Linked DNA regions of Neodiprion lecontei. The protein of the gene in region 3 interacts with the protein of the main gene of each other region in a pairwise test. Links are inferred from orthologs where the notes say so. Each region holds a gene or a part of one and is shown on either strand. Other genes may lie near its edges. The genes, in order: N-terminal Xaa-Pro-Lys N-methyltransferase 1, 60S ribosomal protein L12 and protein arginine N-methyltransferase 6.

Region 1 (3,943 bases), on a different chromosome or scaffold from region 3:
AGTTCCGTTCCTCTGTGGACACGAACCTGCTTGTTGGTATGAAGTTTTTACACTTAATATGCTTGGAAATCAATTGACTGAGAATTATTGTGCAATTTCTTATCTTTTATAATCACAAACGTATATTTAGTTGAATGTAATGATTTAATTGATTAAAGGGAAGTCGGTAATCCATGGGCAGTTGCAGAAGCTAAAAGAAATGTAGAAAAACACTACCTCCTAGTTGGAGTCACAGAAGAATTACCAGAATTTGTACAAACTCTTCAGGCTACACTACCACGATTTTTCAAAGGAGCCTATGATCACTTTATGCATAGTAAGACACGTGTTAGATATTAAGGATTGATAATAGTAAAGCATAGCATGTTTTAAAATTCAATCAAATTTTTAATAATTTTTCTAGTCTACTACTTTTATCCACTGGCAATGTCTTTACAATATAACGCAACTACAGTTTGTGATAATTTAAAAAAATCTCAAATCAATTAATTTTTTCAGATAGCAAGTCCCACTTACGACAAACTACCCAAAAAATTGACCCTCTCCCAGAAACTGTGAAGAAAATTCAAAATTCGCAAGTATGGCAGATGGAGAATGATTTATACATGCATGTTTTGGCTCATTTTCACGCAGTAAAAAAGCGTGTTATAAACTCAACGCCGCAGGAAGCGAATCAACACTTCATGTATGAAAAAATCAGACCAAAATGAAATTAAACTATGGTAAATTTAAGAGTATTGAAATATTTTTATTTAGTGAATCGACACTTTGTATCTGAAAAAATTAAACCAGTTGAGTATAAACTTTATTGAATTAAAAAGTGTTAAAATTTTTAAAAATTATTCTTGTGTATGGTTTTCAAGTGGTCTTTCTTGTTTTTCTTTACAATTTCATTCATATCAAAGAATTAAATATTAACAATCATCATATATATATATTTATTGTTGTGTGCAATGTCGGAATTAAACTGATCTATGTGATAATTGTGAACTATTTATTTCTACTGTAGTACATTGCTCACAGAATTCCGTATGATTTTTCTAGGTCGTAATATGAACATATAAACAGGATAAAGACCTCGTGGAAGTCTGGATTGTTTTTGTTCCTTTACAGAAGAAAATCCAGCCAGATCGAATAAACGTTGTAATTCCTTCAGTGGGCGTGTTACTGAGGAATCCTGTGTATCAACTTCAACGTTTTCAGAACTTGTTATATTTTCTTTTACTATTACCACGCCATTCTCTTTGAGTCCTGCCCTGTTGAATATATTTTACAAAGTTACAGATTACTATTTTACATTGTAAATTATACGGTAAATTCTCATTTCCACTGTAAATTACAATACTGAAACAAAATATGAATAGCAAATGTTACTAACTGACAGTGGCTGAAAAATTTTATAAAATCGTTATCTTGTAGATGTCCTAAAACCCATTGACACCATATGACATCATACTTCCCTACTTCAGGACAAAAGTTTTGCAGACCTGTAAGAGTAATATCCTGTAAAGTATTACATGTATTATATGTAAATTATTTAAGATTCTCAGGCTTTTACTTTCATACCTATGGGAAAAAATTCCCCAACTCTTTTTGTACGACCAGCGAGGTAAGTTTTTGCTGCTTCTAGAAACTCGGAATTTTGCTCAACCAAATCAACTTTTTTGAAGTGTTTGGTAAGTAGATGTTTTGATATTCTGCCAATCCCAGAACCACAGTCTAAAGCATATTCTTTTCTCGGAGGATTTTTTAACTGAAACGTGCGTTATATGGAAATCACAGAATATAGATCAAAATATATTTTTGGAATCAGCCTTCAGATGGATTCCAAAATTATACGAAAGCACATGTGGGTTTGAATTTTGAGGTTACGTTCCTAGGTATCTCGGCATCAATGTGGCGAGCATCAATAAAATATTTATGAAACACAATTTTGTGTAAATTTGACTGAATACCGTACCTTGAAGGCTGATCTTAGAAATAATTCCGACCCTTCGATATCTGTGTTCGAAATGAACCCAAATCCTCCTAACATTCCATCCTCTGTGGCTGGGACTTTAGACCAGTAGTTGGCAGCGTCGGAATAAAAATTTTCAGTCCTTTTGTCATTTTTCTGAATATCATCCATTACTAAATTGATATTTTTAAGATTTGAGCACTTTTTCTAATTTGTTATACACATCACTTTCATTGTGTAATTTTAAAATGTACCCGGGTTATTCAATTTTTATATTGTGACTTTATTATGATTATTATTGTTTTCCTCGACCGTTCCAAAAGGCAAACTTATTTACCCGAATGTGTGTGCATCTCAAACACGATTTTTATGGCTGATTTCAAACTATTTCAAATTAGTGGTCAGGTTTTTTTGTATCGTGGTTTGTTGTTTAACAATCGTATTATCATTCCCGGTCCCGTAAAATACGCACGTTAAACAGTTTTCATACATTTACCAGAACTGTTAGTGAGTATTCATCTGTTGTCCAGCGATAACATCGAAATTTAATAATCTGCTTCAACCTTCATTTCAGTTACTAACCGTTGTGATATAATTCAGGACTTAGCCTAGATGAGTCGTTGAGGATTTTAGAAACAGAAAATGAGCAAGTATAGGAGGAAGCAATCGTCGCCAGAAGACAGTGACAGTGACAGCGAAGAGGAGAGGCGCAAAAGGGATATTAAGGAAAGGGATGAATTTGCCAAACGTCTCAAGTCCAAAGATGATACGAAGGTGCGCAAGGTTGCTACACCAGCTGGATCCGGGGCTGGTAAGTTTAGGCAAAATGTCCTAAGTTGTTTTATCAGCTTTATACAATCACTTAGTGGTGACATTCATACACTTAATATTATCAAATTTGCAGCGGAAGCAGCCAAGAGACTTAAGGTTATGGAAACTCAATCTCGTGATAAGCTTATTCCTAAACTTCGCGTCGAATCGCGGAGGAAGTATTTAGAGAAACGAAAGGAAGATAAGGTAGCTGAGCTCGAGGCTGACATATTAGACGATGAATATCTCTTTGGAGATGAGATGTGAGTTTTACAGGAGTAGAATACTTTTCTGGTTGGATTGAAGTATTGATTTTCAAAATTATAAATCAAATTCATTTAACAGCCTGACTGAGCGCGAAAAGAGGGAACGAGAACATAAAAAGCAGCTACTTCAGCTTGCCAAAGAGCATGAGAAGGCGCGTGAAATGGAACGGGTGCAAAGGTATCACATGCCTCATGAACGAGGCAAAGATGCTGTTGAGCCTGAAACTGTTGACCCAGAACCACCGCAATCTGAGCAAAGCAAATGGGAGTCGGACCAGATGTCATCAGCAGTATTTCGTTTTGGGGCAAAAGATAGAAAAGGTAATAATTCTTCTCACAATTATCAGTAAGATTTGCTTATTTATAATTTTTAAGGAATATTTAATTTTTTACAGCTAAACAGGATTATGATCTGTTGCTGGAAGATGAAGTAGAGTTTGTCCAGGCGCTGCAGATACCAGGAAGCTCCAAGCATAAGAAACAAGCTGTTTCTCCTCCGAAGGAAATGAAAGTTTTAACTACCATTGAAGAGACACAGAAAAGTCTTCCTATATATCCTTTTAAAAATGACTTGATACAGGCTATCAGGGATCATCAGGTGAAATTTGATATCTGTATTACGTTACTCTCATTCATTTGCCTTGTACTTTTTTTACTGTAAGATTTATGTTATGTCTGAACAGGTGTTAATTATTGAGGGCGAAACTGGTTCTGGCAAAACAACTCAGATTCCACAGTATTTATATCAGGCTGGTTTTGCTGATGACAGTAAAGTCATAGGCTGCACTCAGCCCAGAAGAGTTGCTGCAATGTCTGTTGCCGCAAGAGTTGCACATGAAATGGCTGTTAAATTAGGAAACGAAGTTGGATATGCTATTCGATTTGAAGACTGTACTTCTCAGCGTACCCG
Region 2 (3,471 bases), on a different chromosome or scaffold from region 3:
CGTTGATTCGCCGATTAATTAATTAACTGTCGAGGCGCGGGCTTCTTCCTGCCATACGTAATGTCGACGTTCGTTTGTCGCCGAAATTGAGGGACGATAGTAGGTAATACGTAAACACATACGAGAAAAAAAAACCCACTGAGCTGGAACGCTGGCCAGATAGTAATCTTATGATCATCCAGTGATCAGATCGCAACTGTCACTTCACCGTGAAACGAACACCGTGAAGTTGAATCGGAGTCGTCGCAATTTTTGACACCTGCGTGAAGTCCGAGCCGTTTAGGAATCGAACTAATTGCAAGTTCGACATTCGAGATGGACGACTAGGACGCGAAGTTGGCCACACTCATTTTGGCCCGGGAATTATTCAAATCCGATGAATAACTGATTTTTAATGTTCGTTGAAAGACAGAGTTCTTACAAATTCTAATAACAATATTGATCGATCTTAGGAAAAAATAATATTATAGGCAGGATCAATGAAATTAAACACGTAATAAGGTTGGAGAACAATATGATTAGGGTGAATAAAAAAAAGTTGTTTGATAAGATTTTCTTTATTCAATTTTAACCTCCTTCAATCATCTGAAACAGTAAAAAAATCCGAGTTGATGGTGAGTCTAAAATTCATTATTGCAAACTCTGGCTGTAATGTGTGTTCAAAGTTTCTTTTACCACACCCCCAAACTACAGATAGTAAAATAAAAGTAAGAAAAACTTGAAGCAATCGTAGCACGAGTTCACAATATTTCAGTTTTTAATATGCCAGATTTGTTGTTGGGGTTTTCTCCCCAATGGCCACAAGTGCCTGATCAGTATAATCCGGCCAGAAACAGTGTCGCCATGTTTCTGATCGGTACCCATCAGGTGGATGGGATGCCAACCCCTACCAAGAGCCCTAAGCTCACGCTTTCATTTGCACCGGCAAGGGATGAATAACAAAAGAAATCGCGCCAAAGCATTCTCTTTTTGAACTAACGACATCTTTACTTCTTGCAAGATAAACACCGTTGCAACGACCTAAGACGCAAGCGCAGGGCCCTGTACCCACCATTTTATTCTTCCGGAGTTTCCAACTGCCCAGCATTGATCTCATCTATAAGATCGTGTGGGGGGCGTCCTTCGACGGTGCAGCCAACAGACTGGCAGGTGCCAAGGATTTCTCTTATGGTTCCGCTGAGCTCCCGGGACATGGATCTGGGCCTCATGACACGAGCGATGCTTATGACTTCGTCCATAGAGAGATTACCACTGTGCTTGATGTTCTTCTGTTTCTTTCTGTCCCTCGGCGGCTCCTTCAGTGCCTTTATGATCAGTGACGCTGCTGACGGCACAACGGATATAGTCGCCTGCCTGTTCTGGATAGTCAGCTGCACTGTAATTTTTAGACCCTTCCAGTCGCTGGTCGCCTTCGCGATGTCGTCACCGACTTTTTTCGGAGACTGTGAGAGTAAGGGGCGTTAATAAAAAAACAAAAAAACGACCGTGTAGATTACGGATAGGTTAGGTTAGATTGATCGTGGTTTTTCACCCACCAAACCGAGAGGACCGATTTTCGGAGCAAGGGAAGAGGTCGCACCGACTTCTCCTCCAACACATCGAAGGTAGACTGTAAGAATAGTAAAATATAATGCAACATACGTGACACGTGTGAAAAAGCTCGAAATTAAGGTTCATAATTTTTATTGAGGAGATTCAAGGACGGAAGTAACGAGTACGTACCTTTCTTAACTTCGGTAGGATCGAATTTAGGAGGCATGGTGATGCGCTGGTTAATTAAATTACGTTACACGATCCCGATTATGATAGATTCACAAACGATGCGAACTCGCGGGGATCGCGCTTAGGAAAGGCGGACCTTTGGGAGGCCGGAAGTTAGTAGCGCTCGGCCTAAGCAGATGCAGACTACTTGAGTCCCGGATACATTACCTATTTGATGAAATTGCGACGATTCGAAATCTTGGATATGAATTCTTTCAATTCCCAAGCTAATAATTTACCGTACCCTCTAATTCATTCTCTTTACCACAATTTTGTTGTTCATCCCATGACTTCGCTTCATCGAAGCATCACTTGGTTCACGTGGTAGGTTGCTTCGCTTTGAATTTAAACTTGACGTCCCGCGTTTCCATGGAAACGGGAGGGGAATTGTAATCCCCGTAACCATTCAATGCACGCTGAGTCAGAAATAATTTGACAGAAGTGTCTAATGTCGCTCAAATGCTAAGCGGTGAACAATTTTAACTGAACAAGCTAGCCTTTGGGGTAATTTTTAAAAGGGTAAAAATGGACGTGGAGAATCTCGAGTTGGAAGGAATAATAGCTTTCGATGGTTCGTAGTTTCCTACGCTTACTCAATACCTCTTCCGAGAAATTCTCCGCTTCATAGTCTCATTTTTAATATTTTAAATGACAGGTGTGAGCCGAAAGGGCCTTCAGCTTCACCCTGACAATGAGCACCTGATCTACGCAATGGGCAACAAGGTGACAATAAAAAATATAGCCTCTGGAAAGCAGAAGTTTCTCACCGGTCACACAAACGTCATATCCGCAGTCTGCGTCTCACCTTGTGGAAATTATGTTGGGTCTGGACAGATAAATCACGTTGGCTTCAAGGTGTGATTTACAGCGGCTCAAACCCTTAGATCAGACGCTCGGCAATTAATTGTGAATTATTTCAGGCGATGGTGATCGTCTGGAATTACAAAGACTTATCGATAAAGGGAAGCCACGAAATACACAAAGCTCGCGTAGAGGACGTCTGCTTCACCTGTGAAAGCGGCTTTCTTATCAGTCTGGGGGGACGAGACGACGGTAACGTTGTTGTCTGGGACATAAGCCAGGGCGACGCGATGTGCGGTAATTAACTTTGCTGAACCCCTGTTGATATGTCGCTACTGAATAAACCATTCACCAAATTTCAGGGTCGTACGCGAGCAACGAAATTGCTGGTGACGCATGGACGATAACAAGAATGAACCTACGCGACTTGTGCTTTATAACAGGCGGCGACAGAACGCTGAAGGTCTGGAGAATATACCGAGAGACTCGAAAGGTCTACGGAGTTAACGTGAAAGTAGGAAAATTGCGGAGGTCCGTCAACTGCATTGTTGTCGATCCTAGGGACGAGAATGCTTACTGTGGAACAACTTCGGGGGATCTGATCAGAGCGAGGTATAAGATGAGAAGGAGCGGATCGTCAGCGATTTAAAAACACAATGCGTTCTTGGCACTTACCTTTTTACTTTCTCACTCAGGCTAAACTTCTATCATAATATGGAGTTCATGGAGCCAGTGAAAACCCCAGTGATGGTTGGCTGCTACTCAAAAGTCCCTAAGAATATAAAAAAAACAAATACTGAGGCGATATTGTACGCGGGAGGCATTACTGGTTTGACCTTGCTTGGCAATGAGAGACTGGTGGTTGGAGCAGGAGATGGAACAGTGGAATTGGTCAAGATATTGGAAAGC
Region 3 (4,837 bases):
AATATTGGATAAATCATCTTGGGATAAACATAACCTTGAGAAGAACGTCAGTTACCTTCCCGATCTCTGCCCATCATTTCCGTTACTGAGTGATATTTTTCGCATCTTTGTTAATATTACGATAACATTTCACTGTGCTCACTTGATTACTACTTGTTGTTCGCAGTATTGAAATAACTGACTACATTCCATAACCTTTCAAGTAAAAATTATAATTGTCAGCTGTTTTACTTTTTTTTTCTTCTGCAAATGTCATTCATATCCAGTCGGTTCTCTCCATGCAAATAAAACAAGCGTACCATTATAATCACGCCGATTGACTGTACGCCTAACGGCAGGCAACTAAACATACGCGTATGACGTAACACGAGCTTTTTTCAGGAGTAATGGTAAAAAGAAATCCGACAAATTCATCGTTAAATCGACAATCTATGCGGGATAAAAACTCAGGTAGACACGTACAGACTAGAACGTAGTACTGTCAAAGTGTGCAGGAAAATTTATGTATTACACCATTTTTTCTGAGCACCCTTACTTCAATGGGCACAATTTATTTCCAAATTATTTAAAAAATAGTTGGAAGTAAAATCCCATGTACAAATAGTAGTCTTTAGATCCGGCTTTTATACCACATAACAACAAATACTACAGAATTATTTGTATCAAAAAATGGCTTACTTAAAATTGCAGACATCTTTAATAAAAGTTACATAAAATGTATCTGAAATATTTAAACAAATATAACAATTGAACATTCTATGTAGGTTCATATCGGGTAGAATCTCATTCCTTACTATCTAGTGAAGAGTCTTCTATGGTTTTGGGTCGCAAGCAAAAATTGATTCCCCGCAAATCACGATTGAAGGATTTTCTGTACTCTACTCGATTCGCTTGAAAAATTTACTGCACACAGTTCAGGTTGTGATAAAAGTTGTGGTATAATTTTTAGCTGGACATTTTTCTTGCTTGTTTGTCGGTAGAAAATGATTGAAAAAGAAAACTGTTTCAATTTTCAATCCAATTTTTGCGATAATTGATTGCCAGTGAACAAAATCAAACGCCCAGCTGAAAATTATAGCACACTTTTTTAACAACTTGAACTGTGATCGGTAAAATTTCCAAGTGAACTGAGTAGTCCAAGGAAAATTCGTTCAATCACGGTTAGCGAGGAGTCAAGAATTTATGTATGAACCCAACACTATGGAAGAGTCTTCACAAGATAGTAAGGAATGAGATTCTAGCCGCGCGTCAAATTCGATGACCATCCGTTGAAACCCGTCCCGTTTCGCGAGAATTAACCCATATGCTTATTCACAAGGAAACTTGCATAAGCAAGAATAGATGCAGTATGGTACTTGAAATCACAAAACATGTGACTTCGTAGTAAAAATTAAGTTTCTCTACCCTGGATATCTTCCTCTGGATGTTCAGAGAGATAAGCTTTTATTACTAAACACTTGGTCATATAACAATGACAGGGAATATCGTGTTCGACGTTTTCTGGGTCTAACTGAGTATATTCCACATTATAAATTCTTGGTTTCAAAGAATCCTTACGGAGTTCGAGCTTGAATGCTACTGGTTCATCTTTCGTTACCGGAATATCGTGTGGGAGTACTACAATACTTTGTTTCCAATGAGTTGATTCATACTCTGGACTAGTCGATAATTCCGAACCATCCGGAAATGTAACGGAAAACCATACGCAAATGCCCTGATATATTCCGTTCCGATTGCACGGTACGACCGTAGATTCACCACCGAGACATAACAATTCTGGCATAGTTGCTGTACTGAGATCCAGCCAAACAAGCAGCTTTCCATCCGTCAGTAAGTTATTTGCCTCTAAAGACGAAATATTTGGCTTTTTAGACTTCAAACGTCTCTGTTCCCGGCTGACAAACCTATTCAAAAAAAGTAAGAGAATTTTAAAACGAAAGGAAGGCTTGAACATGCTATAGTCAGAATGCTGACAGCCTGTTTTAAACTCGTGATGGCATCTATAGAATCAACCAGAAATTAAATACTAATGTTGATAGTCGACCATGCTAACAAATGTATTTCCTTACTCCATACTGACTCCGTATACATCGTTCCAAAAATCATACACAGTGGGTAATTCGCAAGGAGATGCATAAAGTTTGGCCTCGTTAGGGAACATGAGTCCATTTTCTTTCAAGAATTGATCTCTGGCCACAAGTACCGAATCCAGCATTCCCTCGTGCATCAAATGAAATCCCATCCATTCAGAGACTATGATATCGACTTTGCCGATATCATCACTCTTTAAATCTTCTACTTTACTGTGAATCACTTCTATGATACTTTCAAAACCATTTTCGCGAACTACTTCTTTTGCTACTTGTGCCATGTGGCTTGCTTCTATAGCATAAACTTTTGCAGCACCTGCTTTGGCACAGAACACCGATAGTATACCTGTTGAGAATCATCAATCAATGCAGATATTACTGGTAAGACTTCACTTGTGTCTAAATTTTCGCAACTAAAGTTCTTTGCATAATTAACAAATCGACTTCATTAATTATTATGTGATAAAAGTGTTAACTTCATACCCGTCCCAGCACCAACATCCATTACAATTTTGTTCTGAAATTTATCGCTACAAGCAAATATTGCATTTTTGTAAGCAAGGGTACGAGGTTTATCCTCTAGCATCAGTCGATGAACCTGTGGAGACAAGCGCAATGAAAAAAAACTACCGTCGTCAGTGAGAAGTCAGTAGGAAATGATCGACAGGAGGATAATAATATTAATTCAAACAATCAATCATTTCCTTTCAAACTGTCTCCATCAGTAAATATCAATAGTGACGTAAGTGAATGTTTACTTCCAGATCCTCGTAACTCTTGAAATATTCATCTGTTGAATCGCCGGTGTCCATTGTTAAATTACGTTCTTTGTCAATCTTCCTAAAAACTAAAATTACGACGATGTATGCTAGGCTAACTCTTGCACGTGACACTCATAACCTACAATTTTCGGAATGTCGTTGTCAGCCACGGTGTATACAAGATTTAAAGAGTGCGTGCGTTACAGCCAAGAGACGTCGTGAAGTGTGCGGGTTGTTCTCGGAAACGAGGAGTATTGAGTCTACGCGCAAAAGGCGCAGTCAGACTTGATGGATACGTAGCGATTATCAAAAACAAATGACTGCGACTAGATCCAAAAATGCATCCAAAACAGGATGAAATTTTATCATATTTTCTCGAAGACTGATTCAACGATGTTTTAGTGGTAATGTACGCAATGTAAGAATAAATGTTCTAATAAAACAAAACCAAGCATCTGAATCATCTTGATAAGTGCAGCTTTTAACCTAGTACCTAAAGAGTGCCTAATTGTTACATTATATCTTAAAATCGGCGTTTCTAATATAGCTTTGCTAATACTACGCACGGTGGAAAGTACAGAATAAAAACATACACTTTAGAATATACCTGTGCAGCCATAAATTATGTATTAGAATCTATCCTGATGCGATATCACAACACATTGACACCGATTCAGTATAAATTGGTTCGATGAAAATATATTCTTACCCAAAAAGAGCAGGGGCGTACCTAATTTTTGTCATCTCGCCATTTGAGCTCAGCGCCTGCAGGATGTCACTCTTGATCACTTTGATGCACTTACGGCTGCATCGAGCCGGCTCCTGAATTTGATGTATGTATATTAAATGCACTGGATATTCACATACACTTTTCACGATCAATCTGAACGCACAAACACACTCAAGCGGGTAGCTCACTATCACTATTTTATTATCCGTAAACACGACACTAAGAAAGTTCAAAGATAATTACCTCGAAAAGTTACACAAGAATTACGAATTCGACCATTTTCAAAATATCACAAGACTGAAGTTAGTAACGTTACCGTAATGAAACATTGCGAAAAAAATCAGTATTTTTTCATTTTTAAACTGACTGAAGGAACGAAAATTTCAGTATATGAGTATGTTTTGATTTATTATGGTTTACTAAATTTCAAACAATTTTCAAAATCACGAAGTAACGGTTTTTCCTCGACATGAATTGTTCCGATAAGGTCACTTATAACTTCAACATGGTAGAAGAGTAAACGTGTAAGACATTACACTGAATTTTAATCGCCAGTACGAATCTAACGATCACGGTAATAATTTCGTAGCAAAAACGTAGAGAATCTAGTTTTATGTTAGACACTTTGGGTAAGCTCCAAACGCTGTGACAAAGCTAAACAAGTCTATATTTCTGAGAACGCGAATAGGAGAAAACAACTTCTTGATTACGTCGCGTCGCAACAAATAGGTAAAACAATTGACATATTCAACGCGGTTGCAGTCACTTGTTTAAGATTGTCGAAGTTTAGTATGCCTTACGCCGAGTGATTAAACAGCAAATTTATCCACTCACGACTGTTATGTCAACCGATTAAAGGAATCTACTCGTAAGAAAAACTTACACCTAATCATAATACCGAGTTAAACATGGTTAAACGTACCGGGACACGGGTCAAGCACGCTATTCGCCAACATTCGACCAGTTCCACTTCCATGATCAACTATCACTGGCCAGTGGGCGTCGCGTAATGGCGGCCGAGCTCTCAAGCGCCGCTAGCGTGACGACGGTGATGCTCAGAACTAAATTCGATGTTGTTTTCTTTCGTTGACGCGTTTAAAAATGGAAAGCATTTGAAAATTGATTCAAGAAACAGAGTTCTATTTTCTTGACTATAATTCTATCTTTCGAGTTCTGAAAGCAGTTAATGACACAGTAAATTGATATGTATTCTTTGGTGAATTGTTAATAACTCTGGCAAAGAACATGTGCCATCG

Evidence for each region.
Region 1: the proteins of protein arginine N-methyltransferase 6 (region 3) and N-terminal Xaa-Pro-Lys N-methyltransferase 1 interact in a two-hybrid assay, tested with the Drosophila melanogaster proteins (2 studies listed by BioGRID). The link is inferred for Neodiprion lecontei from reciprocal best matches to the Drosophila melanogaster genes Art8 and Ntmt.
Region 2: the proteins of protein arginine N-methyltransferase 6 (region 3) and 60S ribosomal protein L12 interact in a two-hybrid assay, tested with the Drosophila melanogaster proteins (2 studies listed by BioGRID). The link is inferred for Neodiprion lecontei from reciprocal best matches to the Drosophila melanogaster genes Art8 and RpL12.

Annotation. Positions count from the first base shown.
Region 1 is NC_060261.1:34,123,938-34,127,880, forward strand, and holds N-terminal Xaa-Pro-Lys N-methyltransferase 1, read right to left. Parts: upstream 2,253-3,943; 5' UTR 2,129-2,252; coding exon 1,961-2,128; intron 1,754-1,960; coding exon 1,567-1,753; intron 1,488-1,566; coding exon 1,379-1,487; exon of another isoform or gene 1,257-1,378; coding exon 1,001-1,256; 3' UTR 711-1,000; downstream 1-710. Other genes in the region: heparin sulfate O-sulfotransferase, read left to right, coding at 1-36, 159-316, 499-710; probable pre-mRNA-splicing factor ATP-dependent RNA helicase mog-4, read left to right, coding at 2,600-2,768, 2,862-3,030, 3,113-3,354, 3,429-3,631, 3,717-3,943. UniProt on the Drosophila melanogaster protein: Alpha-N-methyltransferase that methylates the N-terminus of target proteins containing the N-terminal motif [Ala/Pro/Ser]-Pro-Lys when the initiator Met is cleaved.
Region 2 is NC_060266.1:224,939-228,409, reverse strand, and holds 60S ribosomal protein L12, read right to left. Parts: upstream 1,865-3,471; 5' UTR 1,760-1,864; coding exon 1,723-1,759; intron 1,610-1,722; coding exon 1,536-1,609; intron 1,443-1,535; coding exon 1,056-1,442; 3' UTR 1,052-1,055; intron 586-1,051; 3' UTR 542-585; downstream 1-541. Other genes in the region: cilia- and flagella-associated protein 52, read left to right, coding at 2,287-2,332, 2,417-2,616, 2,682-2,859, 2,925-3,174, 3,258-3,471.
Region 3 is NC_060260.1:29,298,927-29,303,763, forward strand, and holds protein arginine N-methyltransferase 6, read right to left. Parts: upstream 3,077-4,837; 5' UTR 2,903-3,076; coding exon 2,849-2,902; intron 2,689-2,848; coding exon 2,574-2,688; intron 2,437-2,573; coding exon 2,070-2,436; intron 1,905-2,069; coding exon 1,391-1,904; 3' UTR 514-1,390; downstream 1-513. Other genes in the region: lysM and putative peptidoglycan-binding domain-containing protein 3, read right to left, coding at 56-105.